Linked DNA regions of Anolis sagrei. The protein of the gene in region 2 purifies or fractionates together with the protein of the main gene of each other region. This does not show direct contact. Links are inferred from orthologs where the notes say so. Each region holds a gene or a part of one and is shown on either strand. Other genes may lie near its edges. The genes, in order: DDX56, MECP2, TBL1XR1 and GTPBP4.

Region 1 (7,941 bases), on a different chromosome or scaffold from region 2:
AAGTGTCAGGAGAGAATGCTTCTGGAACATGGCCATATAGCCCGAAAAACTTACAGCAACCCAGTGATTCCGGACATGAAAGCCTTCGACAACACAATAATAAACAACTTTATTTATATCATGCCTCCATCTCCCAAAAAAGGGACTTGAGGCAGGTTACAAGGTACTGCAAGTGCAGTATAAACATCAACTGTTCATGAGTATAAAACAATATCACATAAAAGTTATAAATAACCACTATCAACACATAAAATAAAACACACAATTTAAAAACTCACGCCATCTATGGTTATAACTAACTGCCATCAATACTCAACTAAAGTGCCAAAGTGTCAATAACATTATAGGCATCACAGTGACTAGGGATGGAAGTCAAGGTGGTGGGTGTATGGGTGAGTGGGAGAGGGGTCAACTCTGGATGTGGGCAAGAGAATGGTCTTATATGTGGTATTGTGTGTGATATGTGTGGCATGTGTACTGTCTGCATTTAATATGTTTGTAAATATTCTTTTAAGCATAAATTCTCCCTCAAAGGAAAGAACTCCACATGACAGGCACACAGTCTTCACTAAGAAAGCCATGGCTCTGAATCTGCAAGACCTAAGCAGGGCAGTTTGTGATTGGGGTGCATCTACACCAGGCATGGGCCAACTTCGGCCTTTCCTCCAGGTGTTTTGGATTTCAACTCCCACAATTCCTAACAGCCAATTAAATGTTACTCAGGCTCACCAAATGCAACATCTGCACTTCCCTTAAACAGCCACGGGTCTGTGGAATGATGTCCAGAGTGGGGGAAAGAACCCTTGTCTGTTTGAAGCAAGTGTGAATGGTTCAGTTAGCAATCTTGAATAGCATGAGTGGCCATGAAGTTTGCAAAGTCAATCAGTGAGGGTATCTGCATAGAGGTAGCATGGTTTCCTCCTTTCTGTTGAACTTCTCCACGTCTGCTTGTGGATTTCAATGGCTTCTCTGTGTAGTCTGATATGGTGGTTGTCAGAGTGGTCCAGCATTTATGTGTTCTCAAGTAGTATTCTGTGTCTACGCTGGCTCATCAAGTGCTCTGCTATAGCTGAAGATGCCTCTAAACTAGTGGTTCTCAACCTGGGGTCCCCAAGTGTTTTGGCCTACAACTCCCAGAAATCCCAGCCAGTTTACCAGCTGTTAGGATTTCTGGGAGTTGAAGACAATTTCACCTTATGCCTGGAGGCTTTGTCAAACTGGCTACGTGCTAGCAGACTGAAGGTGAATCCGGCGAAGACTGAGATCCTGTGGCATGGCCGCCCGATAGGTCCGACCCATCCATTACCTACCTTTGATGGCGCTGCTCTATCTCCATCGCCTACCGTTAAGAGCCTAGGTGTCGTTTTGGATTCGCAGCTGACGATAGAGGCTCAGGTCGCTGCTGCCAACAAACAGGCCTTTTTCCATCTACGACAAGTGAGGCAACTGGCACCTTACCTGTCGGATGAGGCTCTGGCAACTGTCATCCATGCCACGGTCACAACTAGGCTGGACTATTGTAACACCTTGTATGTTGGCCTTCTTATTTCTACGACCCGAAAGCTCCGTATTGTCCAGAATGCTGCAGCCAGGTTACTCACAAAAACCCCCATGAAATGCCATATAACACCAGTGCTGCGGCATCTACACTGGCTCCCAATTGAGTATCGTGGTTTGTATAAGATGCTGGTCCTGACCTTTAAAACTTTATATGGCCAGGGCCCATTGTATCTTAGAGACTGTCTCTCCTTCTACCATCATCGGAGGTCGCCACGACCATCCCAACGCGATCTGCTCTATATACCGGGTCCTAGGGAAGTGCACTTGGAAAGCACCAGACGCAGGGCCTTCTCTATTTCTGCCCCTGCCTTGTGGAATTCCTTGCCTCCCTATCTGAGAACCATGCGTGACTTAGGGCATTTTATCCTAGCACTTAAGACCTGGCTTTTTACTAAAGCATTTGACCCATGTTAACTTTAATATTTGTATGTGTTTTATCCTGTGTAATTTCTGCAGTGTAAATCGCCTGGAGTATCTCGGATGGAGGGCGGTTAATAAGCAATTAAAGATGATGATGATGATGAAGACCAAAACATCTGGGGACCCACAGGTTGAGAACCACTGCTAGACAAAAACAGCCAGGCCAGCTCTACGCAGATACTCTCACTGCTTAACTTTGCAGCTGCAAGTCTACTCAATGCTAATCAAGATCACCAACTGCAACATCCACACTTGCTTCAAACAGCAAAGGGTCTGTGGAATGATGTCCAGGATGGAAGAAAGAACCCTTGTCTGTTTGAAGCAAGTGTGAATGTTGCAATTAGCAAGCTTTAATAGCTCTGAGTAGCCATGAAGTTTGCAAAGTCAATCAGTGAGGGTATCTGCATAGAGGTAGCCTGGCTGTTGTTGCCTGGAGGCATCCTCTGCTTCCTTTCAGACTACACAGAGAAGCCACTGAAATCCACAAAAGCACATGGACGATTTCAACAGAAAAAAAGAAAACCATGCAAATAAACAAAATCTGGCTTAGAGGATTAAAAAAACATCAGAATCAAAACAGTAAATAAGGGACACCACTCAGAAACAGGTGAACCCCAGATAGCAAACAATCAAGGGCCAGTTAATCTTCCCAAATAGAGGGTGCCTCCAGGCAACACAGGCCAGGCCACCTCTATGCAGATACTCTCACTGATTGACTTTGCAGTTTTATGGCTACTCGCTCACTGCACAATTCCTAACACCTGGAGGGAAGGCCCAAGTTTGCCCATGCCTGATCTACACTGTAAAAATAATGCAGTTTGACACCACTTTAACTGCCATGCTCCTGTGTTATGGAATATGGGGAGGAAAGAGGAAGGAAGAAAGGAGGCAAGCAAGCGCGAATGAACAAGGTCCAGACCTGAAGCAAACGGGGATCCAGGCCCAGGTGCTCGAAACTCGGCTCCTCGTCAGCCATGCTGCTTTCTACTCGCCAGAGGGCCAACTTCCGCCGGAAAACGGCGCCGCGCCTGCGCACATCAAGCACGGAGCATCGAGAGCAAGCTTTGCGACCAGAACAGCCCGATGCTGCCCCCTAGAGGCCCGGGAGGGAAGGGGGGCTCCCACCCAGCCTCTGAACATCAAACATCAAAGCCTTCCCCACAGATGGCCTTTCAGCCTCTGTATAGTATAATAATAATAATAATAATAATAATAATAATAATAATAATAATAATAATAATAATAATAATAATGGAAGAGCCTCATCAAAGCCTTCCCAACAGATGGCCTTCCAGCCTCTATTGTAATATATTAATCATCATCATTATTATCATGGAAGAGCCTCATCAAAGCCTTCCCAACAGATGGCCTTCCAGCCTGTATTGTAATATATTCATCATCATCATCATTATCATCATCATGGAAGAGCCTCATCAAAGCCTTCCCAACAGATGGCCTTCCAGCCTCTATTGTAATATATTAATCATCATTATTATCATGGAAGAGCCTCATCAAAGCCTTCCCAACAGATGGCCTTCCAGCCTGTATTGTAATATATTCATCATCATCATCATTATCATCATCATGGAAGAGCCTCATCAAAGCCTTCCCAACAGATGGCCTTCCAGCCTCTATTGTAATATATTAATCATCATCATTATCATCATGGAAGAGCCTCATCAAAGCCTTCCCAACAGATGGCCTTCTAGCCTCTATTGTAATATATTAATCATCATCATCATCATAATGGAAGAGCCTCATCAAAGCCTTCCCAACAGATGGCCTTCCAGCCTCTATTGTAATATATTAATAATCATCATCATCATTATGGAAGAGCCTCATCAAAGCCTTCCCAACAGATGGCCTTCCAGCCTCTATTGTAATATATTAATCATCATCATCATCATCATTATGGAAGAGCCTCAAAGCCTTCCCAACAGATGGTCTTCCAGCCTCTATTGTAATATCTTAATAATCATCACCATCATAATGGAAGAGCCTCATCAAAGCCTTCCCAACAGATGGTCTTCCAGCCTCTATTTCAAAGCAGAAGCTGGCACCCCATCTACACTGTCATAACTTAACATTTGGGAATGCCATTCCAACGCATGAAATAGAATTATATGAGCTTACACTGCAACAGAATGCAGTTAAACCATTCCGAAACTGCTTTCTCTGGCAGTGTAGATGGGGCCTGGCTCGTCATCTACAAAATGGAAGAGGCAGAAGGTGGTCCTCCTCTTTCTCCTCGAAATGGAAGAGGCAGAAGGTGGTTCAAGTAGGCCTGTCCAGCACTGAAGGAACGGAGGTCCGCAGGCTTGGGAAATTGCATTTCATAGCACCTTGGTTTTTTAAAAAATCCTGTTAAATTTGTTCAGATGGATTTGACTTTTGGAAACAAACTCCTGAACAGTCCTGAAAGCATTTGGCAGAAGAGCTAGTGCAGAATCCCTGTGTGCCTGAGGGACGGATCGATGAAATTGTATGATTGGAGTCTGGCTATGGCCTATTAAGGTCTGGCGAGATTGAAAATGCCACCCTAAAATTAAAACCCGAATATGATTAACTTTGGAACGAAAGTGCTTATGAGAAAACTGATGAGAATGGAGCCGAGAACTTTTTGTGTAAACAACACGTTTACATGGCCAGAGACAATGACTCTGCAAGTTAAGGAAGTTAAACAACATATCTTCTGGAACTGAAGAGCTTTGAGCAAGTCTAAGCTCTTCAATTCCTAATCAAGCAAGAACAGCAGCAAAAAAAGTTCTACATAAGGAGGCTCTTTTCCTCTTTGAAAGTGTGCCAGAACTGCAAGGAATGCAGATTTGAGTACCCACCTCCTTCTTCCAATGAAGCCTGATGGACTGAATGAAGAAGGATGGCGAGTATGAACATTGAACGAATGGATTATGAGTGAATTTTGGAGTAAATGTGATGTTCCCCTTTTGTCTGTGTAATCAATATAGGTAAAGAAGGTATGAAGGAAGGAAAAAAGGAGGGAAGTAAGAAAGAGAAAGAAGGGAGGAAAGAGGGAGAAAAGATAGAAAGTATGAAGGGAAGATAGATAAAAGGAGAGAAGAAGGAAGAGAAAGAAGGGAAGGGAAAAGAAGGGAGAGTAGAGAGAGAAAGGGAAGGGAGAGAAGCTATGGGTGGAGGTGAGGAAAAGAAAAAAAAAGAAAGATGATGAGGGAAGGGAGAGATGAGAAAAAGAAACGGATAAAGGGATGAAACAGGAAAGAAAGAAAGAAGGGATGAAGGAATAGAAGGAAAAGAGAAAAATGAGGGAAAGAAGGGAAAAAGCAGGAAGGAAGGAAGAGAAAGAAAGGATGAAAGGAAGAAGAGAACAAAATAAAGGAGGGAAGAAAGAGGAAGAAAGTGAAAGAAGGGATGAAAGGACGGGGAGAAGAGAGAATAGAGGAGGAAAGGGAAGAAACAGGAAGAAAGGAAGAGAAAGAATGGATGACAGGAAGGGAGAATAAAGGAGGGAAGAAACAGGAAGAGAAAGAAGGGATGAACGGACTGAGAGAAGAGAGAATAAAGCAGGGAAGGGAAGAAAAAGACAGGAAGAGAAAAGGGATGAAAGGAGGGAGGAAAGAGAGAGAAAAGGAGGTAAAGAAGAAACAAGAAAAGAAAGGCGGGATGAAAGGAGGGAGGGAAGAGAGAAAAAAGGAGGGAAAAAACAACAAGAGAAATTTATTTACAGCATTTATATACCGCTTTTCTCACCCCAAGGGGGTGATGAAAGAAGGGAGAAGAGAGAAAAGGGAGGGAAGGAAGGAAAGAAACACGAAGGAAAGAAGGAAGGGATGAAAGGTGGGAGAGAATCATAGAATTGGAAGGGACCTCGTGGGCCATCCAGTCCAACCCCCTGCCAAGAAGCAGGAAAATTGTATTCAAAGCACCCCAACACATCCAGCCTGTTCAAAAGCCTCCAAAGAAGGAGCCTCCACCACACTCTGGAGCAGAGAATTCCACTGCTGAACAGCTCTCGCAGTCAGGAAGTTCTTCCTAATGTTCAAATAGAATATCCTTTCTTGTAGTTTGAAGCCATTATTCTGCGTCCCAGTCTCCAGGGCAGTCTCTCTCCTCCCTATGACTTCCTTTCACATACTTACATATGGCTCTCATATCTCCTCTCAGCCTTCTCTTCTTCAGGCTAAACATGCCCAGCTCTTTAAGCTGTTCCTCATAGGGCTTGTTCTCCAGACCTTTGATAATTTTAGTTGCCCTCCTCTGGACACATTCCAGCTTGTCAACATTTCCCTTCAATTGTAGTGCCCAGAATTGGACACAGTATTCCAGGTGTGGTCTGACCAAGTCAGAATAGAGGGGGAGCATTACTTCCCTGGATTTAGGCACTATACTCCTATTGATGCAGACCAAAATCCCATTGGCTTTTTTTGCTGCCGCATCAGAAGAGAGAAACAAGGAGGGAAGAAATGGGAAGAAACAGGGAAGGAGGAAGGAAGAGAAAGAAGGGAGACTGTGTGTCTCCTTCTTTCTCTGAAAGTGCCTAATGCACTCTGTCCTACTGAAAACAGATTAAAGCACAATTTAAGGTGCTTTATTGATGACATGAGCAGCCCCTCGGTACCCTTTGCTGGGGCCTCTGGCCATGAACAGATTCCCCTCAGCCCCCCTCTCCGCCACCACCACCACCACCGATGGCTCCCTTTGGGCTCCCAGTGAGAAGAGGGGCCAGACTCAGGAGCCCAATGCAGCCCAAGGCCCTTTCGACACACAAGAAACAGTGCTTGCAGCAAAATGTTTATTTCACTCCAAAAACCGTAGCAAGGGACACTAGGAAGAACATACCCTACCGAACTGGGAAGCAAAGACTCCTTGGGACCAAAGCGGTGGGAGAGGGGGGGCGGGAGGGAACCTTGACACCATTTCAGGGTGCCAAAGGTCCAGCTCTGGCCCAGTCCAAGCAGAAACAGGAGGGGCCCTTCTCCCTTCTTCCTGACCCTCTGGGCCCCAAGGGTGACTGGCTTCCCTGCCAAGGAACCAGAGACAGCATCAGGAGGAGAACAAAATACTAAGACTCTGCATTGATCTCCTATTGACTCTTAAATGGTGAGGATGGCCTAGTCACTGGTGCTAAGAGTTGTTCCTCTTAAAGAGATATGCTACCCCTGCAAAGACAAGGATGTCCACAAATGAGCTCTGGCCTATGCTACCATCCCAAAAAATTGCACAAATGTCCTTCGCCCCATTTCCCCTGCGGCCCCAAGCGCTTATTGAAGCACAGTCACACAAAGCCAGTAGGAGAGGGGCACTTTGGGTCATCTCAGCCATCGGGCGACAGCACAAGGGGAGAAAGGAGGCCTCTTTACGCACGAGAAGCAACACCTTCTCCTTCCGTTGTCCTGCATTCCCTGAATTCCAGCTTCCTGAGCACAGGTCCAGGCTTAAAAAGGGCAGCCGGGGGCGAATGGTGGGCTTTGCAAAGGGGTATTTGTGGCTCAGCCAAGGGCAGTCTGTATTGGGCCTCCATTTCAGTCCAGTGCTTTAGGAAATCCGGAAGCGTGATGACACGTGCCGTAGTGGCCAAAGACGGGGGGCTTTTGTGTGCCACCGGAGGATCTAAACCAATTTCTTGGCCTCGAAGAAACTCTTGAGGTGCCTCATCTGCCAGATGCCCGTCAGGATGAGGATTACCGTCTGGGCGATGGACCACCACAGCACCCGCTGGTTGGTGCTCTCGCTGGTCATGCGGAAACGCTCCTCCCGGTACTGCAAAGCAGATGCACCCTGTCAGTGACAGAATCACAGCCCCGTGCCTCTCCACAGGACACCAATAAGACCCCAGCCAAGCCCAATGTGTGCCAAAGGCTAGGGACTGTGCTGCATAAGTAGATGGGGAGGGCAGGACTTGCAATGGAGGATTCTCCCAACTCACCCTTTGGTAGTTCTGCTCCTTCTGGATCTGCTCCACTTGGTCCAGGAGCTGCCTGGCCC
Region 2 (7,814 bases):
TCATCTATGCCCTTTCACTTGTTTGCCCTCTTAGTTTAGGCACTCTGGCAGTGAGGGCTGGCTCTGTAGCACTACAAGTAAAATGAACTATTGCCCGTATCCAATGAACTAATGAACTATTCCCTATATTCTTTCCCTTTCTGCAAGATAAAAACGAGGGCATTTGACTCAGCAAATCCAATCCTTCTTAGCATGACTACCAGAGGGAGAGGAAAGTACAAGCAAGCAGAAGTTATAGTGGTTCTGATTCAAACCATTACAGACTCCACTTATCAATTCACATTGGTCTCAGACACCACACTTGGTCCACCCTAAGCTGCACAAAGAGATAAAGCCATTGAGCAAGTAGAGTCCCCAAAATGAGAATAAATGATTAACCAAGAGCAGTAAAGGCCATTATTTCCAATCATCACACCCCAATTCTCCCCACCAAGATTGGGAAAGGAAATGTACTTGTGATTTGTTTATGGACCTAGACACTTACATAGTACCCTGCCTCAGAGGACTGACACACAATGGACTTATATTTTTGAATAAACGATGGTCACAAGGAACCAGTACTCTTCACTCCAATTAGTCACCAACCTATGAAGGCCTATATCTCAGTGGAAAGAGATAAGGACTGGACCACTGAGGCTACTGAAAGCAACTGAGCAACCGTTTTCTCTGATCACTTGATCTCCACCTCCAGAGGATGCTGACCCCATACATCACCCATGCCCAGGTGGCTATTCTTCACAAGAGTTGTCCCCTCATCACAAATTCACTGGTGACCACAAGTCAGCAGCAGTTCACAAATATCATACACTCTTCAGACAATGTTACAGAGCAGCTCTGTATATAAATATAATGTATTTCCTTGACTGTAAGATGCAATCAGTTGTAAGAAATTCAGGATCACCAACAGAATTTTTTTCATTTAGATACCGTATTTATCCATTATAAACCACCATTGATTATAACGTGCACATTAATTCTAGCACAGCAACAGAAAAACTGTATCTATATATCTATACATATCAATACTAAGAGATACCCCATTTGTAGATATGTTTATTTGAGGGGAAAGTGAGCTTTTGAATCGAGAAAAAACAGTATATTAAAAGTTCCCGCAATTCTAAGGTCCCTCCAACACAGCTGTATAAAATCCACATTGAACTGAATTATATGGCAGTGTGGACTTAGAAACCCTTTTCTTCAATAAGGCTTTTAAAGATGACAGAGGGCCCTTCCACACAGCCCTATATCCCAGAATATAAAGACAGAAAATCCCACATTATCTGAGTGTGGACTCAGATAACCCCATTCAATGCAGATATGGTGGGATTTTCTGGCTTGATATTTTCGGGGTTATATGGCTGTGTGGAAGGGACCTCAGATAACCCCATTCAATGCAGACATGGTGGGATTTTCTGGCTTGATATTTTCGGGGTTATATGGCTGTGTGGAAGGGACCTCAGATAACCCCATTCAATGCGGATATGGTGGGATTTTCTGCCTTGATATTCTGGGATATAGGGGTGTGTGGAAGGGCCCTGGGTCATATGGCTGTGTGGAAGGGCCCTCAGATAACCCCATTCAATTCAGATATGATGGGATTTTCTGCTTTGATATTCTGGGTTATATGGCTGTGTGGAAGGGCCTTGAGATAACCCAATTCAATGCAAATATGGTGGGATTTTCTGCCTTGATATTCTGGGTTATATGGTTCTGTTGAAAGGCCTTTAGATAGCCCCATTCAAAGAAGGTTTGGTGGGATTTTCTGCCTTTACATTCTGGGATATAGGGGTGTGTGGAAGCGCCCTGGGCCATATGGTTGTGTGGAAGGGCCTTTAGATAACCCCATTCAAAGAAGGTTTGGTGGGATTTTCTGCCTTAATATTCTGGTTATGTAGCTGTGTGGAAGGGCCCTCAGATAACCCCAATCAAAGCAGAAATGGTGGGATTTTCTGCTTGATATTCTGGGTTATGTAGCTATTTGGAAGGGCCCTCAGATAACCCCATTCAAAGCAGAAATGGTGGGATGTTCTGCCTTGATATTCTGGGTTATGTGGCTGTGTGGAAGGGCCCTCAGATAACCCCACTCAAAGCAGATATGGTGGGATGTTCTGCCTTGATATTCTGGGTTATGTGGCTGTGTGGAAAGGCCTTTAGATAACCCCATTCAAAGGTTTGGTGGGATTTTCTGCCTTGATATTCTGGATTACGTGGCTGTGTGGAAGGTTGTGTGGAAGGGCCCTCAGATAAACCCATTCAAAGCAGATATGGTGGGATGTTCAGCCTCGATGTTTTGGATTATGTGGCTGTGTGGAAGGGCCCTTGGTGGTACACAGGGTAGGCCTGGTCGGGCCCTTCACAAGAGGAGAGCCCTGAAATACAGCCTTCCCGCAAAGACATGCTGCCCAATGGCCCCAACAACCTGGAGCCTGCGTTGGCGAAGTTGGTGTGAGCAGGTCCCTGAAGGGCCTGTCGGGCAAGTAGCAGCTTCAGGCAGTGAGGAGGGCCCCCTGCGAGGAGGAGGAGGAGGAGGCTGCCTGAAGGGGCCATTCAGGCGCGCGCGCCAGGAATTCGTTCGGCGTGACCCCTGACCCGGGCCCCTCTCCCCCTCCCCTCCCTCCTTGCGGAAAGGCCGGCCCCTCCCATTGCTGGGCAGAGGGGACCGCTGTGACGCACTCAGGGGCCCTGGGCGCGCGCAGGAGGGAAGGCAGGCGGGAGGGAGGGCTAGGCGAAGGGAGGGGAGGGGAGGGGAGGGCGCCCGCGAGCGGGAAAAAAAAGAGGCAGCCCAGCGGCCGCAGCCCTGCCTCGCACCTCTCCCCCCTCTCCGGACGCCACAGATGGTCCCGCCCGGACCCCCCGCGCCAGGGGCTCGATGGTCCGGCCCGGCTCTCCCCCACCCCTTCCCCTCGAGTCACTCACAATCTCTCCTCATCTCCGCTCGGCGCCGCCGCCGCCATTTTCTTCGCAGCGAAGAACCCGCGGGAGGGGGGGGAGAGGAGGGGGGGAAACCGAGCCGGAGAGGAAACCCGGAGAGCCAGGCCCCGCCCTCCTCGGCTGCCATTGGGCGGCGCGCCCCATCAGTCAGGGCGCCCCCCGAGAGCGATTGGCCGGCGCCTTTCCACACGGGCGAGGCGGCCCTGCTTCCTTGCGGCCGTTAGAATTGGCGGGAAGCGCTGTCAGTTACAACGGTACGAAGTAGGCCGCGGAGAGGAGCCCGCGCTCTTCGCCATTGGCCCTCTCTCGCCACCAGGCCTCAAGGGTTTGGAAATGCCGCCCCTGAGCAGGCCGCTCCCTGTCGTCATGCGAGCAACCTTCTCAGCATATGTCAGGGCTGTCCCTTTCATGTGGCCCATCAAGTAGCATCAAGGTCATGTTCCCACAGCTTCCTGAGAAGACCAACAGACGGTCGCAATTCACCTCAGGGCCTTTGAACAGCCGAACTGGACAAATAATATATTTCCGTGAATGACAGCAATTCTTGTACCGTGACAGCACAGATTCCCCCAAGGACTGTTTTACCCACATCACAGGCATTTTGTTTCCTCCTCAGATGGTCCAGCGTTCTCACCCACACCTGTAAAGCACCGCATACATCTTTACCACAGCAGTGGCAGAATTCCTAGTGGCAAATTCACCACCATAAGAGGCCAGCTGGGGCGATGTGCTTCACTGCAGGGATAGGAAATAGTGTGCCTTTGCTGACATACCTCTTATTGGAAAGCAGATGTGCTGCAGCTCTAGATGGGGAAAAAAACACTCCCTCTCAGGTGAGAATAACAAACAAAAATCCCTGTCCTATTTTCAAAGCTAAACACTAAAGCAGGGGTCCTCAAACTAAGGCCCGAGGGCCGAATACAGCCCTACAAGGTCATTTACCCAGCCCTCGTTCAGGGTTGACCTAAGTCTTGAAAGCACACAACAGCAATCCTTTCTCAGCAGCCAAAAGCAGGCCCACACTTCCCATTGAAATACTAATAAGTTTATATTTGTTAAAATTGTTCTTCATTTTAATTCTTGTATTGTTTTTAAGTGTTTTTTGCACTACAAATAAAATATGTGCAGCGTGCATAGGAATTAATTCATGCTTCATTTTAATTATTGTATTGTTTTTAAGTGCTTTTTGTACTACAAATAAAATACATGCAGCGTGCATAGGAATTAATTCAATTAATTCATGCTTTTTTCAAATTATAATCTGGCCCTCCAACAGTTTGAAGGACTGTGACCTGGCCCTCTGCTTAAAAAGTTTGAGGACCCCTGCACTAAAGGATACAATAGACACCCTTTAATATCTGGAGAAAGGACGTGATGTGATTTATTTTCATATTCCTGACAGAACTGTTAAAACTAGTTTATTCCTCTGTGTGTCCTTAAACAGCCTCTTGACTTATAGAAACCCTGTCAATTTCATAAGATTTTCTTTAGCAAGGAATACTCAAGAAGTGGCTCGCTACTGACTCGCATATAGCCAATAATACCTTGAATTCTCCCATTATTATTCTTATAATGCAATTTGTTTCATAAAGATCAAGTAGACAGACAGAGGCGGCCCTAGGTAATTTTCAACAGTAAGCAAACAGTATTTTGGCGCCTCCCCCCAACCAATCATTGATATATATTTTCTGTTCGTCGTGGGAGTTCTGTGTGCCATATTTGGTTCAATTCCATCATTGGTGAAGTTCAGAATGCTCTTTGATTGTAGGTGAACTGTACATCCCAGTAACTACAACTGGCATATGTCAAGGTCTATTTTCCCCCAAGAATGCCTCAAGAGCACTCCTGGGCAAAATCAACTATACTGCAAATGCTTACTTTGCGTAATGGGTTGAGCCGCCCCTGTAGACAGAATATATTGTAAAGAACAAAAATAACTTTCTGGCCTTGCATTACACATTTTAGTGCAAATATTAAGACACAAATAGTGTTCAATTCAGCAGGTATTGCAGAGTGTCATGCCAGTCTTATTTATTTATTTCTACTTTTCTTCCGAATCGGAATTTATTTCTACTTTTCTTCCGAATCGGAACTTAAAGCAGCCAACACCATGTAAATAAAACATACATAAAAATAAACATAACCAACAGATCAGAACATATCTGATAAAATTATAAACCCGCAACACACGTAATACGTGACGCAAAAAACAATTTATTCCGTAGATTAAAACCGCAAACTAAAACTAAAATCCATTCTTTTAGGCTGTTGTCAGTGATTGGGCAAATAAATTTTCTTCAAATCACAATTTTATAAATAAAAATGTATCATTTGTTTACCATATTGTATTAAACACAGAGACAGTTACATAAACATGACCATCAAGTAATATCATTATGAACATTTGGCTTTTGGTACTTTTAACAGTGCAATCCTACATAGTGTCTATTCCAATATAATTTCCTTTGGATAAAATGGTGCTTGCTCCCCAGAAAATTAGAATAATTCACTTTAACTTACAGATTCAGAAACATGACAGATTCAGTGTATAGCAATGAATGTGGAAAAAATTGAATTTTAAAGGGTGTTTTTTTAACCTGAGAGAACATAACTTTAGGAATTTCTAAGTCACCATGACTTTATGATTAACTTCCAGTGGACGTTGATTGTATAATTGTGCTGGAGAATCTAGACATTCTTACAACATAGTAATCAAATCCGCAAATGTGAAATCCAGGAATATGAAATGTCAGCTGTAAATCCAGACATACACTTCATATGAGTATCCTGTTCTAAAAGCAGTGTAGCCATGTTTGTGCTATAAAAAGCTACCACATAACATTCATTTATGCAAAATAAGTGAGATGGAGGAAACCTAGTGGAAGACGTGCTTGATGTGGCTCATACCACTAGGAGAAACAGAACTGATGTTGAAGGCCGCAAGGCAACCAATTGCTGTCAGTTGGGCAAGATATGCCTTTCTCCCTCATAATGGTGAGCAGTGTTGGGAATGACTACTTCTCTTGAATGTCGCTTTGATAACATGCCAAATAAATACGCAGATACAAGTGAAAACGAACAGATCACTAGAGTGGGAAAGGTGTGGAAATGAAACAACAGGAAACTTTACTGTCCCGTCATTTGCCATGTGCATGCATTAGACACGCATCTGCCCCCTACTGAATGTTGAAGTCCACAAATGTATAGAAACCTTGATGCTGGAGGCCCAATACAAAAGCTGTCAAGCAGAATTTAATTTTCTAGGTTTAAAAATAAGAATGTTGATGATGTGCATAATTTCACATTTTTAAAACCAAAGTCCACAAGAATTGTGTCCATCGTATCTATTATCTCTGCAATCCTTCCACATCACACCAGAAGTTTTCTCTGGCCACTATTTGTTTCACAACTACATTTTCCAAAATTCATTTCTTATAAGACACGTGGGTTTTTAGTATATCTGTGACAAAAAAATTATTCTACATATATAACCTAATGTCAGTGTACATGCATGACAGATAAACCATCATTTACTAAATTCAGAATACCTGCTAAACACATGGAAGCCCTACAATTTTTTTTCTCAGCCAACCTAAAACTGTCCTAGTTTCATCAACTGAACTACAGTCATGTCTTTTCACGTCCATTTGAACTGGATAAACATGTCAGAGTCCCTCTGTTATTCTCTTAATGATCACAGTCTTACTCAGATTGGAATCCTATTCTCCCACCCACTATTTATATAGAAATATGGCTGAGTCATTCAGTGGATCCATATGATGTCCTATACAATCACTTCGCACATGCACACAAACAATACAATCTCAACCCTGCAACAAAGCTGCACTGTCCCTACATATGTTTGACACACTAATTTGAATCACAATAGTGTTCCTTTTAAAAATGAACTTGTAGACCAATCTGTTTCACAAATTACATGTTGCTTACAGCATTTTAACACATTTTCCTCATTACTCTGTTTTGTAAAACTCAGCCCTTTCATAAATATTTTAAAAAGATAATTTCCTTCTAAATGCCTTTTGTTCTATAGCTTTTAACATAATGCGGGAAATGAGAAGAATCAGGACTACAGTAAAAATATATAAAAGTTTAAATATATTTTTTATTTGTAGTATGCAGTCATTCCAGCCGAAAAGTATTGTGACAGGTTTTAGAATATATTTGTGTGTTTCAACTGTTTTATATGTTTGTATTTTCCTTATACTAAAATTTCAATGATTAAGATTATTTTGTGGGAAATATTTCTGTGATTTTTTTTATTTGTGTAAGTATTTGCCAGAAAAATATAGTCTTTATACTAAAACCATCATCCAAGCATACTGACAGTACAGTTCTATGATTGTTTAGCAGAAGTGAGTTCTGTTGTGCTCTATAAGTATTGCTCCTAAGTAAATGTAAATAGATTTCATTCTAAATACAATACTGAATATATCTTCTGAAAAAAGCCACACTGAAATAATCAGGTCACAGCAAAATAAATATGTACAAGATTCCAGTGTTTCCAGATTTATATAAATCTCCAAAATCTTGTGGTGATCTTTTATTGATCAATCAAAAGGTGCAGTGCAATATGTGCAATTATTCTAATTATATGAGCATTTAAGCCATGATGAAATTAATTGGACACTTTGTTGTTTTTAATTTCTCTCACGTCTACTTTGACTTGTGGCACCCTATAAATGAGAGAGTTCCAGGTCACCCAGTCATCAACTCAATTCATGCAGATTGAGGGCCAATCTTCTTTACTTGATTGATTATATCCCCTTTTCTTGCTGTCTTTCTTTTTCTCTCACAGCCTTCTACCTTCCCAAACAATATTGTCTTTTCATGATATTTCCAAAGTTCAACCATCTCAGTTTAGG
Region 3 (7,302 bases), on a different chromosome or scaffold from region 2:
GCTGCAATGTTGCCTTTTTGGGAAATCAGGCCAAAACCAAACACTTCTAAAGGAGGAAAAAATATCACTATTGCAGGGTGTTGTCTGACATTTCAGACATTTTACACGTGGACATGGACTCTCTAAACAGCAAGATTTCTAAATTTAAGGGTCATAATCTATATCTATAAATATATACATACAGACACATATACATATAAACACACACATATGCAGGTGTGTAGGTTATCCACATTTTTAAATCCAGCAGAAGTTCACAAGAAACTCTTCCATAACTATTCTGGTGCTTTCCCCATTTCTTTTCAAAGACACTTCCAACTTCAGAAGTCTCCAGGGGCTGCAATGTTGTCTTTTTGGGAAATCAGGCCAAAACCAAAATACTTCTAAAAGGAGAAAAAAATATCACTATTGCAGGGTGTTGTCTGACACTTCAGACTTTTTACACGTGGACATGGACTCTCTAAACAGCAAGATTTCTTAATTTAAGGGGCATAATCTATTTCTATCTTTATATAGAGATATACATACACATATATACATATAAACACACACATATGCAGGTGTGTAGGTTATCCACGTTTTTAAATCCAGCAGAAGTTCACAAGAAACTCTTCCATAACCATTCTGGTGCTTTCCCCATTTCTCTCCAAAGACACCTCCAACTTCAAAAGTCTCCAGGGGCTTCAATGTTGTCTTTTTGGGAAATCAGGCCAAAACCAAACACTTCTTAAAGGAGGGAAAATATCACTATTGCAGGGTGTTGTCTGACATTTCAGACTTTTTACACGTGGACTCTCTAAACAGCAAGATTTCATAATTTAAGGGGCATAATCTATATCTATCTATATACACACACATATACATATAAACACACACATATGCAGGTGTGTAGGCTGTCCACATTTTTAAACCCAGCAGAAGTTCAGAAGAAACTCTTCCACAACAATTCTGGTGCTTTCCCCATTTCTCTCCAAAGACACCTCCAACTTCAGAAGTCTCCAGGGGCTTCAATGTTGTCTTTTTGGGAAATCAGGCCAAAACCAAACACTTCTAAAAGGAGGGAAAATATCACTATTGCAGGGTGTTGTCTGACATTTCAGACTTTTTACACGTGGACTCTCTAAACAGCAAGATTTCTAAATTTAAGGGGCATAATCTATACCTAGATAGATATACATAACCACATATACATATAAACACACACATATGCAGGTGTGTAGGCTGTCCACATTTTTAAACCCAGCAGAAGTTCACAAGAAACTCTTCCATAACAATTCTGGTGCTTTCCCCATTTCTCTCCAAAGACACCTCCAACTTCAGAAGTCTCCAGGGGCTTCAATGTTGTCTCTTTGGGAAATCAAGTCAAACCAGACCCGAAACCAAACGCTCAGGCTACCTTTCAGCACAAATATATTTCAAATGCAGGCCTTTTTAAACGAATACAGTGCAAAAATAGAGAGAGACACCCAAGCAGCTCAGTGCTTCTCCTTCCCCTCCTCCACCCCAGCCTGAGTTGAGCCACCAAGCCATTTCCTCCCTTCCCCCAAGGCTCTTTGCAAACACAGCTTTTAAAGACACAACCCCCAAGCGAAATCAAACTTTCCCTCCCCCTCACCCCAACCTTAAAAAAACACCTTACTGACCTTTTCAAAAATACATTCCCAGGTGGAGAAAAACACCCCACTTCCGAGCGAAATTTATGGAGACATGGAGGTGCCCCGCCGTGCGCCTCTGTGTGTGCGTTTTCCTTCCCAAGGCGCAGGACATTCAAAATACACACACACACACACCTCTGTGTGTTGTGCCTGGAAAGAAGTCGTCGCCTTTCCTTTACACACACACACAGGGATAGATACACACACAGAGAGAGACACCCTCACCACCAAATCGGTCTAAAAATAGGCTCTCCAACCAGCTGGCTTCTTCATCATGGCTGCTGGGTTGCATTTATTTGCGCAAATCCCTTTTTCGCCTCTCCAAAAGGCACTTACTTTCCCTCCCCCATCTCCACCATTTTCCTAGGAAAATAAAGGGGTCAGAGGCTGAAGGGGGAGGGGTTTGAAGGAGGGGGGAAACCTCCAAAACATCACAGGCAAGAAACCAAAAGGAGGGGGGATTAAAGGGGAAAAGTCACCCCCACTTCCAAGGGAAGGAAAGAGAGGGCCGAGCTGAGAAATCCAGGCTGCAAATCCAAACCCCCAATTCTCTCCCTCCTCCAATTCACAAACACAGGCCAATATCTTCTGATCTCCCCCCTCTTGAAAAAATACACTATCCCAACATGAATTCCCCTTTATTTTAAAGCAACCCCAGCCCCCCACCATGCAAAACAATGTCTCCAATGTCTCTTTTTTCCATGTTTCCACCAAAAGACTTTTACGCACAACCCTCTCTTCTTCTTCTTTTGTCAATTTTTGATTATTATTATTTTTGGATGTTTTTTCTTACCTTGCAATGGATGCCTCGCTGTCTATTCTCACCCCCTCCTCCTTTATTTTGCAACGGAAGGGGGAGGGAAAAAAAGGAAACCATAGATAGGGTCTGTTACCAATGCAGCAACATATATATGTTGGGGTTTTTTTTGCAAACCCAAGAAAATAATAATAGTGGGAATAATGATGGTGGGGAAAGAAGGGGGGAAGGGAGAGGAAAGAACCACAAATAGTCACACCAAGAATGCAAGGTATTCAATTATATCCCAAGCCTGTGTGTGTGTGTGTGTGTGTGTAAGTGTTGGGGGTGGGGATTGGGGAAAAAAATAAAATAAAATCAGAAAGGTTTCTGGGAGGAGGAAGAGAAGGAGGAGGGGAGAGATTACAGATTAAGTCCCGAGGAAAGGAGGAGGAGGGTAATAAAAAAAAGTAATCTCTGTGTCTGTATGTGAGTGTGTGTGTGATTTAGATTGAAGAGGAATTGAGGCAGAATGTTAAAGCTGTTACTAAGGGAAGGAGCCAAAACGGTTCAGAGCAGCCAACGGCTCGCAGACACTCAGCATTGGGGAGAGAGAAAGAGAGAGAGAGAGGAAGGTGGCCAGCCAGACAGAAATGAGCAGAGAGAGAGAGGGAAAAAAGAGAGGCTAATACACACACACATGCACACATACAGAAGGAGAGACGAGAGGGAAGGGAGGAGAGAGGCAAGCAAGCAGGCCTGGTTGCTTCTTTGCTTGCAAAAAACAAACCAGATGGCATGCAAAAACAAAACCCCCCAAAAAACTCATGCAGGAGAAGGTGCAGAGAAGATAAAGGCAGGCATATTTTGGAGAGGAAGTGGGGGAGATTTCCAGGTCTGCAAAAAATATAAAATAAGGTGTGGCTGGAGAGGAATGCAAAGAAAAAAAAGAGGTTATGATATCACACACAGTTTGCAAAATGCAAGGGCAGGAAGGAGAAGAGGAAGGGAAACCCTGGCAAGAAAAATGGGTGGCAGGGTTGTGGAAGGCTTTCATGGCTGGAATCACTGGGTTGTTGTAGGGCAGTGGTTCTCAACCTGGGGTCCCCAGATGTTTTTGGCCTACAACTCCCAGAAATCCTAACAGCTGGTAAACTAGCTGGGATTTCTGGGAGTTGTAGGCCAAAAACATCTGGGGACCCCAGGTTGAGAACCACTGTTGTAGGTTTTCTCAGGCTATATGGCCATGTTCTAGAGCAGTGGTTTTGAGTGGAAAATTCAATATTCATTGTGGTCACAGGCACCCAGACCTGTCTGAACGCATCTCCCCTTATGAACCATCACAGAGATTAAGATCCTCCAGGGAGGCCCTGCTTTCCGTCCCCCCATTGTCACAGGCACGATTGGTGGGGATGAGAGACAGGTCTTCTCGGTGATTGCTCCTCAGCTATGGAACTCCCTTCCTGGTGAGATCAAGTCGGTCCCCTCCCTCCTGTCCTTTAGAAGGATGGTAAAAACTTGGCTGTGGGACCAAGCTTTTGGGACAGGGCAATAAAGCGGCAATAGGAAAGATGACCAGGCCAATTCCGGATTACTAGGAATTGTGTATTTTTAAATCATGTATTTTAATATTTTGACAAATGTTTTTTAATGTTTATGTATTGTATGTGAATTTGTGTCTCGGCATTGAATGTTTGCCCTGTATATGCTGTGCTCCGCCCTGAGTCCCCTTTGGGGTGAGGAGGGCGGAATAGAAATGTTTTAAATAAATAAAATAAATAATATTCAAGAGCATTATGTTTTGATGCACTCAGGGAAAGGAGAGAAGATCAGCAGCACTATCAGAAAACAGGAAAATGCGGAGTGGAGAATCTCCTTTTGAGACCTGTAAAGCAGTAAAGGGCATTGGATGGCTGGAAGTGCAACAATATTCCCCTCCCCATTCTTCTAGGATTATAAATGTATACTGCACAATTTGGCCCCTGTATCCATAGGGATAGTACATACAGTTTTATTTAGCCACATAACCATTTTTAGGTCCTCTAACAACATGATGATATAATTCGGAATGCCTTCATTTCAGTGGAGTTCGCTATTATCTGCAATTTCGCATATCCACGCCCAGTCCAGAAATGTTTTTCCTATAGATATGGAGGTTCATAGCAAGATCCCGGTTGGTAAGTTAAGAGTACAGCAATTGCTGCTACAAAACAACTGATATCCTATTTCTTCAATGTTGTTGCTGTTGTTGTTCATTCGTTCAGTCGTCTCTGACTCTTCGTGACCTCATGGACCAGCCCACGCCAGAGCTCCCTGTCGGCCGTCACCACCCCCAACTCCTTCAAGGTCATTTCTTCAATACTGTATAATAAATTGCTACAATTTGGGAGGGGGGGAGAGGTGTTGTTACATGTGGCACAATGTTCCGTGAAAAATATCTGGGGTCTGTGAAAGCAAAAATATCCGCTTTTCAAATACAGGAAACACCTATAAGCAATATGAGAAAGTCATTCCTGAATTGGCAAACACGGGATAATAATTTGGTAGAAAAGCCCACATTTGCCCTTCTATAGTGACCTTTCCCTACTATTTTTTTGTACCAAGAGCCTTTGGTGTCCACTGAGGTTGGTGTGGATACCAAAATCCATGGATGCGCAAGTACCATTATATATAAAAAGGTAAAGGTTTTCCCTTGACATTAAGTCTAGTTGTGTCCGACTCTGGGGGGTGGTGCTCATCTCAATTTCTAAGTCGAAGAGCCAGCATTGTCCGTAGACGTCTCCAAGGTCATGTGGCCAGCATGACTGCATGGAGCGCTGCTATCTTCCCGCTGAAACAGTACCTATTGATCTACTCACATTTGCATGTTTTCGAACTGCTAGGTTGACAGAAGCTGGGACTAACAGCGGGAGTTCACCTCACTCCCTGGATTCAAACTGCCAACCTTTCAGTCAGCAAGTCCAGCAGCTCAGCAATTTAACTGCTATGCCACCATTATATATAATGATGTGAATGGTGTTCCCTATACAAAATAAGGGAGCCCCCGGTGGCGCAGTGGGTTAAAGCACTGAGCTGCTGAGCTTGTTGATCGAAAGGTCGCAGGTTCAATTCCGGGGAGCGGCATGAGCTTCCGCTGTCAGCCCTAGCTTCTGCCAACCTAGCAGTTAGAAAACATGCAAATGTGAGTAGATCAATGAGTACCGCTCCGGTGGGAAGGTAACGGCGCTCCATGCAGTCATGCCGGCCACATGACCTTGGAGGCATCTACGGACAACGCTGGCTCTTCGGCTTAGAAATGGAGATGAGCACCACACCCCAGAGTCAGATATGACTGGACTTAATTTCAGGGGACTACCTTTACCTATACAAAATAAAAAAATAGAATTTCATTTTCGTAAATTTTTTTGCATATTTTCAAGCAGTGGTTGGTTGGTGAACATATGTGGGCCAGATTGTAACGCAGATGAAACAGAAAAATGGGAGCAGCACTGTTAAGTAAGTAATAAGAGAGAAAAGCTCAGTTCCTGTACCAGCCACAAGTCTGCATTGGTTTAATGTCGGCTTAATAATATATCAGTGTGGTGGGAGTGAAAAAGACAACAAAATATAAAAAAGTACAAAAAATAAATAAAACAGTGCAGTCTCAAAAACACGAAGCCAGTGATGTGCAATGACCAGAACAGGGCATTGTTTGAAGTTCTTATTGCAACATTCAAGCCAGCAGCAGCATAGCATTCAGAATGGAAAAAACACTTCATGGGGGAAGGGATCTCTCTTCCTCTGAGCGGGCGAGAGAGAGAGAGAGCACAAGAGAACCAGGAAATTGCATTAAGCAGATCAAGTCATTATTTGGTGTTCTGCACAATTCAAATGAAATGTACTAAAAGGGGGGAAAAAACCTACAACAGAGCAAGTTGGAGGGCAAAAGAGGATAAAGAAACATGGGGGAGGGAGCCAGGGCTAACAGGAAAGACACACCACTCTGCAAAATACAGATTTAGAAAGCAAACTAACAAAAAAAGGAAAGAAATACAAGAGAAGTAGGATAAAGCTAAGTGTGGCCTATTGCGTATTGTCCTGAATGGTCAAGAAGGCACAGCATCAAAACAACAGTGGAGTGTGGGAAGCATAAGTCACAGCAGTGACAGAAGGGACTCTTTTCCAACGGCAAAGTTCTCCACCAGATGATGAAAGCTCTGCTGATAACTGTCCAGCAAGGTGGCCAGAGCGTGGTCCAGGGCTTCATTTGCCCCCAGCTGCTTATGTGGCTTTATGTTCCCTCCCACAGATGGCCCTTTTTGTGGCAAGGACAAATTTCCTCTCCTGAAAGTCTCTGGAAGCATTAGTTTTCCATTTAACTGGTTGAAATACTTAACTGGTTACATCCCGCCTTGACTACTGCAACGCTCTCTACGTGGGGTTGCCTTTGAAGACGGCCCGGAAGCTCCAACTAGTCCAACGGGCGGCAGCCATGGTATTAACAGGAGCAGGGCGCAGGGAGCATACAACTCCTCTGCTGTACCAGCTCCACTGGCTGCCGATTAGCTACCGAGCCCAATTCAAAGTGCTGGCTTTGACCTTTAAAGCCCTAAACGGTTCTGGCCCTACATACCTATCCGAACGCATCTCGCCCTATCAGCCCACCAGGACCCTAAGATCTTCAGGAGAGGCCCTTCTCTCTATCCCACCTGCTTCACAGGTGCGGCTCGTGGGTACGAGAGATAGGGCCTTTTCTGTGGTGGCCCCCCGGCTTTGGAATGCCCTCCCTACTGAAATAAGATCAGCCACCTCGCTAATGGCATTTCGGAAAAAACTTAAAACTTGGATGTTCCAGCAAGTTTTTGGCTAACTTGACTTGATGATGTTTGATCATGGATTAGCAATCTCGGACGACGAATTGGATTGTGACTT
Region 4 (7,142 bases), on a different chromosome or scaffold from region 2:
TGTGGCTGTGGAGCCCTATTCTTGCTCTGCATCTTCTTCCGCAGTAAGGGCATTGGTTTCCAGGTGGAAGGAGGTCTCGGTCGGGGTTGGCTTGAGGCGGCTTCCTCTTGGCACGCTTCTCCCTTTCGCCCTCCATTTGTGCCTCCTCAAATTCTGCAGCATTGCTGGTCACAGCTGACCTCCAGCTGGAGCACTCAAGGGCCAGGGCTTCCCAGTTCTCAGTGTCTATGCCAGAGTTTTTAAGGTTGGCTTTGAGCCCATCTTTAAATCTCTTTTCCTGTCCACCAACTTTCAGTTTTCCGTTCTTGAGTTCGGAGTAGAGCAACTGCTTTGGGAGATTATTATTATTATTATTAACTTTATTTGTACCCCGCGAGCATCTCCCGAAGGACTCGATGCGGCTTACACAGGCCGGAGCCACAACACACAATACAATAGAAAACATAACAAGTAATAACAAAGCAAATCAACATCAAAAGCGAAACAAATCAAAAATTAGCGAAACAGCAATAACAATACATCAAGACATATTAAAAACTGGTTCGGCCGGCGAGAGGGGTACATGATTAAAGTGCTGAAAATGGCAGGAGGGGCGTAGGAATTAAAGTACGGTGTGCAGCAGCGTTAATTGTACTAAAGTGCTACTAGGACTTGGGATGGGGATTCTTAATCCGGGAAGGCACAACGGAACAGAGATGGTGGTCGGGCATCCGGACAACGTGGCTGGTCCAGCGGAGTTGATGGCAGAGGACAATCACTTCAATGCTGGTGGTCTTTGCTTCTTCCAGCACACTGACATTTGTCCGCTTGTCTTCCCATGAGATTTGCAGGATTTTCTGGAGGCAGCGCTGATGGAATCGTTCCAGGAGTTGCATGTGATGACTGTAGACAGTCCACGTTTTGCAGGCATATAGCAGGGTTGGGAGGACAATAGCTTTGTAGACAAGCACCTTGGTATCCCTATGGATGTCTCGGTTCTCAAACACTCTCTGCTTCATTTGGGAAAATGCTGCACTCGCACTTATGGATCTTTGACTGTCATATTCAAACTGTTCCTGGATTATGGACTTCTTGTCTGGACATTCCCAGAGGATTAGATTGTTGTTCATTCGTTCAGTCGTCTCCGACTCTTCGTGACCTCATGGACCAGCGCACGCCAGAGCTCCCTGTCGGCCGTCACCACCCCCAGTTCCTTCAAGGTCAGTCCAGTCACTTCAAGGGTGCCATCCATCCATCTTGCCCTTGGTCGGCCCCTCTTCCTTTTGCCTTCCACTTTCCCCAGCATAATTGTCTTCTCCTGGCTTTCCTGTCTCCTCATGATGTGGCCAAAGTACTTCAACTTTGTCTCTAGTATCCTTCCCTCCAGTGAGCAGCCGGGCTTTATTTCCTGGAGGATGGACTGGTTGGATCTTCTCGCAGTCCAAGGCACTCTCAGCACTTTCCTCCAGCACCACAGCTCAAAAGCATCAATCTTCCTTCGCTCAGCCTTCCCTAAGGTCCAGCTCTCACATCCGTAGGTGACTACAGGGAATACCATGGCTTTGACTAGGTGGATCTTTGTTGCCAGTGTGATGTCTCTACTCTTTACTATTTTATCGAGACTGGACATTGCGTCTTCTGATTTCCTGGCCACAGTCTGCATCTGCAGTAATCTTTGAGCCTAGAAATACAAAGTCTGTCATGGCCTCCACATTTTCTCCCTCTATTTTCCAGTTGTCAATCATTCTTGTTGCCGTAATCTTCGTTTTTTTAATGTTTAGCTGCAGCCCAGCTTTTGCGCTTTCTTCTTTCACCTTGGTTAGAGAAGAAAGCGCAAAAGCTGGGCTGCAGCTAAACATTAGATTAGGTCACCATATTTCATCAGCTCTCAACACTGGGGCATCACAGGGCTGTGTGTTGAGTCCTCTGTTTTACACTTTGTACACACGATTGTACAAAGGTGTTTTGGACTTCAACTCCCACAATTCCCAGCATCTGGTAGCCTGTTAGGAATTGTGGGAGTTGAAGTCCAAAACACCTGGAGGGCCCAAGTTGGCCCAGGCCTGGATAGTTGCACCCATGGTGGTCAATCAATTAAAATTGATTAAGTACCCAAACATCAATTCATTGGGTTCTTGTGGGTTTTTTCGGGCTATAGAGCCATGTTCTAGAGGCATTTCTCCTGACGTTTCGCCTGCATCTATGGCAAGCATCCTCACTACCTCTATAGCCCGAAAAAACCCACAAGAACCTAGTGATTCCAGCCATGAAAGCCTTCGACAATCAATTCATTGCATTAGTAATTCCTCCCTACATCCAATAGCTTGGGGACCCGGCGCTGCCCGGGTTATTAGAGAAAGGAATTGTATATCAAGGTTGGTGTTTATCAGTTATTTATATGGCTCGCAGTGGTCTCAGGAAGTTAGTGAAGGTACTGTGAGTCCCATCATCTGTGGTCCATCGTCCTCCAAACTGCACCAGGATGGAGAGAGGGTCATGGGGGCTCTCTGTGCTAAGTTTGGTCTTGATCAGTCATTGGATGAGGGTCACAGCAGTCTCAGAAAGTGTGTTAAGGTACTGCAAGTCCCATCATCCATAGTCTCCCTCAAACATCACCAGAATGTTGAGTTGGCCATGGGGGCTCTCTGTGCCAAGTTTGGTCTTTATTGGTATTTGGATGAATGTCACTGTGGTTTCAGGAAGTGAGTGAAGGTACTGCAAGTCCCATCATCCATTGTTCTAAAGAACGAGCGCCACCTGTTGGATTTCTGCCTGAGAGTTAAAAGGCGCCTCGAGGAGGAAAGCCTGCTCGCAGAGGGACACGTGGTTCCTCCCCACGTCGCGTACAAGCCTGACCAGTAGCCACGGGGACGGCCCAGCCGCACTATTAGAAACCGGGCCCAAGCGTGGAGGGGCCTCTCTCCTTACCTTGGCGGACGGGACCACCATAATCTTCTTGAAGTTGTAGAGCGCCATGGCTGCGGCCTCCTCGCCTGACGGCCGGCCCAGCAGGAAAAGGCAGAGCGGCGCCTGGAGGAGGGACTTCCGGGTTCCCACCTCTCGCGAGATGAAACCGGCACGCGAGAAAAGGAATGCTCCCAGGCTTCTGTCTGTTAAAATAGACTTACGATTTCTATAGAGTCACATCCGCTTTCAACACAGCTACCTTCCGAGTTAAATTCACTTTAATAAGCACATTCTTCTCTGTTTGCTTCATCCAAATGGAAGAAAGATTCCCTTTCACGCCACCTGCTGCCCAGGAGGATGAAGTGCACATTCTTTTTCCAGCTCTCATCATATTTGAAAGTTACTTAAAAGGGGAATGTAATGCCTGAATCAGAAAGTGTTCCAAATGCATACTATTTGAGAACACAAAAATGTTGGACCACTCTCACAACCACCATGTCAGACTACACAGAGAAGCTACTGAAATCCACAAGCATGTAGACAATTTCAACAGAAACCATGAAAATGAAAATAATCGGAGTTGTTGTAGGTTTTTTTGGGCTGTATGGCCATGGTCTAGAGGCATTCTCTCCTGACGTTTCGCCTGCATCTATGGCAAGCATCCTCAGAGGTTGTGAGGTCCTCACTACCTCTGAGGATGCTTGCCATAGATGCAGGGGAAACGTCAGGAGAGAATGCCTCTAGACCATGGCCATACAGCCCAAAAAAACCCTACAACAACCCAGTGATTCCGGCCATGAAAGCCTTCGACAATACATTGAAAATAATCTGGCTACCAGTATGATAGAAAACTCTAAAATCAGAACAGTAAATAAAGAACAACACTCAGAAAACAGGGGAATTCCAGACATGAATCAGAACCAGCTAACAGCTCCCAACAAAGGAAGCAGCCAGGCTTTGAAGCTGAAAGGCCATTCAATACCAATCAAGATGGCCAATTGCAACATTCTCACTTTCCACAAGCAAACAAAGAGTTCTTTCTCCCACCCTGGACATTCCACAGATATATAAACCTCACTTGCCTAGTTTCCAACAGACCTCACAACCTCTGAGGATGCCCACCATAGATGTGTGCAAAATGTCAGGAGAGGATGCTCCTGGGACATGGCCATACAACCCATAAAACTCACAACAACCTAGTGATTCCAATCATGAAAGCCTTCAACACGTTCCAAATGTTGTCTGAATGAAAGTTTTATCTTTGTTTGAGGAAGAAGTCCAAACGTGGTTCCTTTTGTGGCATAATTTGGAAACAGGAAACATATGGTGATTTTGTTGCATGGCCATGTTTTCCGTGCAACAAAATACAAAATACCAGATGAAGTTGCCAATTCTTCAGTTTGGATGGGATAAACTCCAGGCCTGAGGATAGGGCATCTGCACTGCAGATTTAAGGCAGTTTGGCCCCATGGTTAAATGTTATGGAATTATGGGAGCTATATTTTACGAAGTTTTTAGTATTGAAGCGGAAAATGTGACGTTTTAGTTACCCTGCGGATACAGAGGAAAATAATCTAGCAAATTTATGTCAGTTTCTGTATTTTGGGTTATATAGTAGATTTCCAAAATGTGATTTAATGCTGTAAGCATGTGTATGTAATAATGTTCAGCAGGGATAGTGTTAAGTGTGTTTGTTCCTGCTTCCCAGGCATGTAGCCGGGGGGGGGGGGGGGGGGGGGGCTTGAGGGGCTTCGCCCCCCCCCCCCCCCCCCGAAATTCTCATGGTGGTTCGCGAAAAGGCCTTACTGGTGCATTATTTAAACTGTTATGTTTATTCATATCATGATCTGATCACCATACTCAATATATCCCATATGCATGGGGGCATTGGGGTAATGATACAAAAGGTTTGCTAGGCTAGACCCTCTTTCACTCAGACTCAACCCCCCCCCCCGAAACTCAGCCCCCCCAACCCCCCTGAAAAAAAATCAGCCCCCCCCCCCCAAACGAAATCCTGGCTACGGGTCTGCTGCTTCCTGTATGTGACGTATGATGCCTTCTATGGAATGTAAGTAGGCGTGTTCTACTGAGTGTGAAGAAGAATCCGAGTAGCTATTACTGTGTCTTGGTGTATTGTTTATTGCTTGTTGTTTAATATTGCTTTAACTGTTTTTAATTTGTGTTAGGTTGTATATTGTTATGTTGTGTTTTTAGGCCTTGGCCTTTGTAAGCCGCATCGAGTCCTTCGGGAGATGCTAGCGGGGTACAAATAAAGTTAATAATAATAATAATAATAATAATAATAATGAGTTGTCTTTTGCCACAGGCAGACGCTACCGTAAAACTCTCATATGTATATAGTCTGTAAATAAAGCTAATTGGTTTATTGCTTTATGGCTGTGTGTCGGAGCAGTTTTATCGCCCTATCAACCAGACAATCAACAATTTAATCTGCGGAAGGGAGGCTCACATGGGAACAAAAGCTCAAAGTGTGTAAGTTTACCGAATATGGAAAAGGTGGCCATATTTATACACATAGAACTCCATGCGTTAACATTGCTATTTGCTTGAAATTCCCTCCCAGCCATGCAAAAAAGCCATCCTCCTGATTGATCAGGGAGTGGAACCTTGCTGGCTTGCTCTCCAATTGGTTGGGGAGGTGGTGACATGGCCCTGGGGCCTCCAGTGGTGAGGCCAGACAGGCCATCACAGTGTTAATCCAAAGATAATGTAAGTCCAAAAAATTAAATGACCAGATTATGCGATATTGAGTCCAGGACTCAGGAACAATAGTGACTTGCCAGACTCAAGCACTTTCTCAGGAGAGGGACAATGACAAAGCCCAGTGTGTCAATAGGAGACTTGAGTGTGTCTCCTCTTGGGTTATTGTCTCACAGATGGTGGCGATCTCCCAGAGGGAAGTTTCAGGTGGCATGCTGGAGTTCTTCTGTTGTTTGCCAGCAAGGGTCTTTGTCACCTTGATGGTTATCCAAAACTGGCCCTGGGAGGGGTCCTAGAGGGAGACTGTTCAAAGGTTCCTGGAGTTCACTTGAGTTTTCCCTTCAAAGTTCACTATTTCATAAAACATATAGAAATAAAGAGAATCATAGAATCAAAGAGTTGGAAAAGACCTCATGGGCCATCCAGTCCAACCCCCTGGCAAGAAGCAGGAATATTGCATTCAAATCACCCCTGACAGATGGCCATTCAGCCTCTGTTTAAAAGCTTCCAAAGAAGAGGTGAAAGGAGAATGTGTCTTATTTCATAAAGGGTCAGGGGAGAGGGGGTGGCTGATAGCCTTATTTTTGTTATATTTTATAGGATGCTCACGTGTGCAGATCCGCAGTGAGAAAAATAATAAAAAGAAAATAGTTATAGATAGTGGGGCAAAATGGAGAGGAAAGCAATGAAGTCTGTTGAGGGAGGAAGACAGATACAGTGTATCTCTGGCAGCAAGGCCAGTGATACTCTATAGCACCAGTTCTGTCTGGCTTCCCCAGGCTGCGCTTGTGCACTGCGGTAGAAAGATCCCAGTAAACCGACTGAGCTGGCCAGGCCAGCAGCATGGATGGTGGGGTTTTGGGAAAATTGGGGTTATGTGTTGCTGGTTAGGGGTGCTTGGGTGCAACTGGAGAGACTCAGTGGGGCAAGGGCCATGGCAACTCATTGAGGCCCTTCGCCCCCAGAAAACTACAACTCCCACGGATACTGAGTCTCCATTTTATTTGGAGGGGTGGGTATTACTGTTTGACAACAGTATCCCCTTCGAAACAATTGGTGACTCACCACACTACAGCTCCCAGTTTTGAGTGATTTCAGCAACAGCTAAAACTGTGGCTCCAGTTCAAGGAGATGTATATGATTCAGAATAATTCGTGTTTTTGTGGGTAAGATTTTTTGAGAACACCAGGATTTCATCACATTGAGCCATGACAATTGAAGTGGTGACAGTTGAAGTGGTAGGAGCCCCCCCCCCCCCCCCCGTGGCGCAATGGGTTAAACCCTTGTGCCAACAGGACTGCTGACCGAAAGGTCAGTGGTTAGGATCAAGGGAGTGAGGTGAGTTCCCATCTGTCAGCTCCAGATTCTCAGGTGGGGACACGAGAGAAGCCTCCCACAGAATGGTAAAACATCCGAGTCTCCTGGGCAACATCTTTGCAGACGGCCAATTATCTCACACCAGAAGCAACTTGCAGTTTCACAAGTTGCTTCTGACACGAAAAAAAAAGTTGAAATGGTGTCAAACTGCATTGATT

The links.
Region 1: the proteins of MECP2 (region 2) and DDX56 purify together in Homo sapiens (affinity purification with mass spectrometry; 3 studies listed by BioGRID and IntAct, with this or other methods). This does not show direct contact. The link is inferred for Anolis sagrei from reciprocal best matches to the Homo sapiens genes MECP2 and DDX56.
Region 3: the proteins of MECP2 (region 2) and TBL1XR1 purify together in Homo sapiens (co-immunoprecipitation; 3 studies listed by BioGRID and IntAct, with this or other methods). This does not show direct contact. The link is inferred for Anolis sagrei from reciprocal best matches to the Homo sapiens genes MECP2 and TBL1XR1.
Region 4: the proteins of MECP2 (region 2) and GTPBP4 purify together in Homo sapiens (affinity purification with mass spectrometry; 3 studies listed by BioGRID and IntAct, counting the BioPlex papers as one, with this or other methods). This does not show direct contact. The link is inferred for Anolis sagrei from reciprocal best matches to the Homo sapiens genes MECP2 and GTPBP4.

What each region holds. Positions count from the first base shown.
Region 1 is NC_090027.1:20,961,314-20,969,254, reverse strand, and holds the start of DDX56 (probable ATP-dependent RNA helicase DDX56), read right to left. Parts: upstream 3,009-7,941; 5' UTR 2,957-3,008; coding exon 2,900-2,956; intron 1-2,899. Other genes in the region: TMED4 (transmembrane emp24 domain-containing protein 4), read right to left, coding at 7,567-7,716, 7,883-7,941. UniProt on the Homo sapiens protein: Nucleolar RNA helicase that plays a role in various biological processes including innate immunity, ribosome biogenesis or nucleolus organization. Plays an essential role in maintaining nucleolar integrity in planarian stem cells.
Region 2 is NC_090022.1:175,856,282-175,864,095, reverse strand, and holds the start of MECP2 (methyl-CpG-binding protein 2), read right to left. Parts: upstream 3,009-7,814; 5' UTR 2,955-3,008; coding exon 2,917-2,954; intron 1-2,916. UniProt on the Homo sapiens protein: Chromosomal protein that binds to methylated DNA. It can bind specifically to a single methyl-CpG pair. It is not influenced by sequences flanking the methyl-CpGs.
Region 3 is NC_090023.1:256,414,285-256,421,586, forward strand, and holds the start of TBL1XR1 (F-box-like/WD repeat-containing protein TBL1XR1), read right to left. Parts: upstream 3,002-7,302; 5' UTR 2,449-3,001; intron 2,093-2,448; exon of another isoform or gene 1,644-2,092; intron 1-1,643. UniProt on the Homo sapiens protein: F-box-like protein involved in the recruitment of the ubiquitin/19S proteasome complex to nuclear receptor-regulated transcription units. Plays an essential role in transcription activation mediated by nuclear receptors.
Region 4 is NC_090026.1:117,192,230-117,199,371, forward strand, and holds the start of GTPBP4 (GTP-binding protein 4), read right to left. Parts: upstream 3,018-7,142; 5' UTR 2,956-3,017; coding exon 2,908-2,955; intron 1-2,907. UniProt on the Homo sapiens protein: Involved in the biogenesis of the 60S ribosomal subunit. Acts as a TP53 repressor, preventing TP53 stabilization and cell cycle arrest.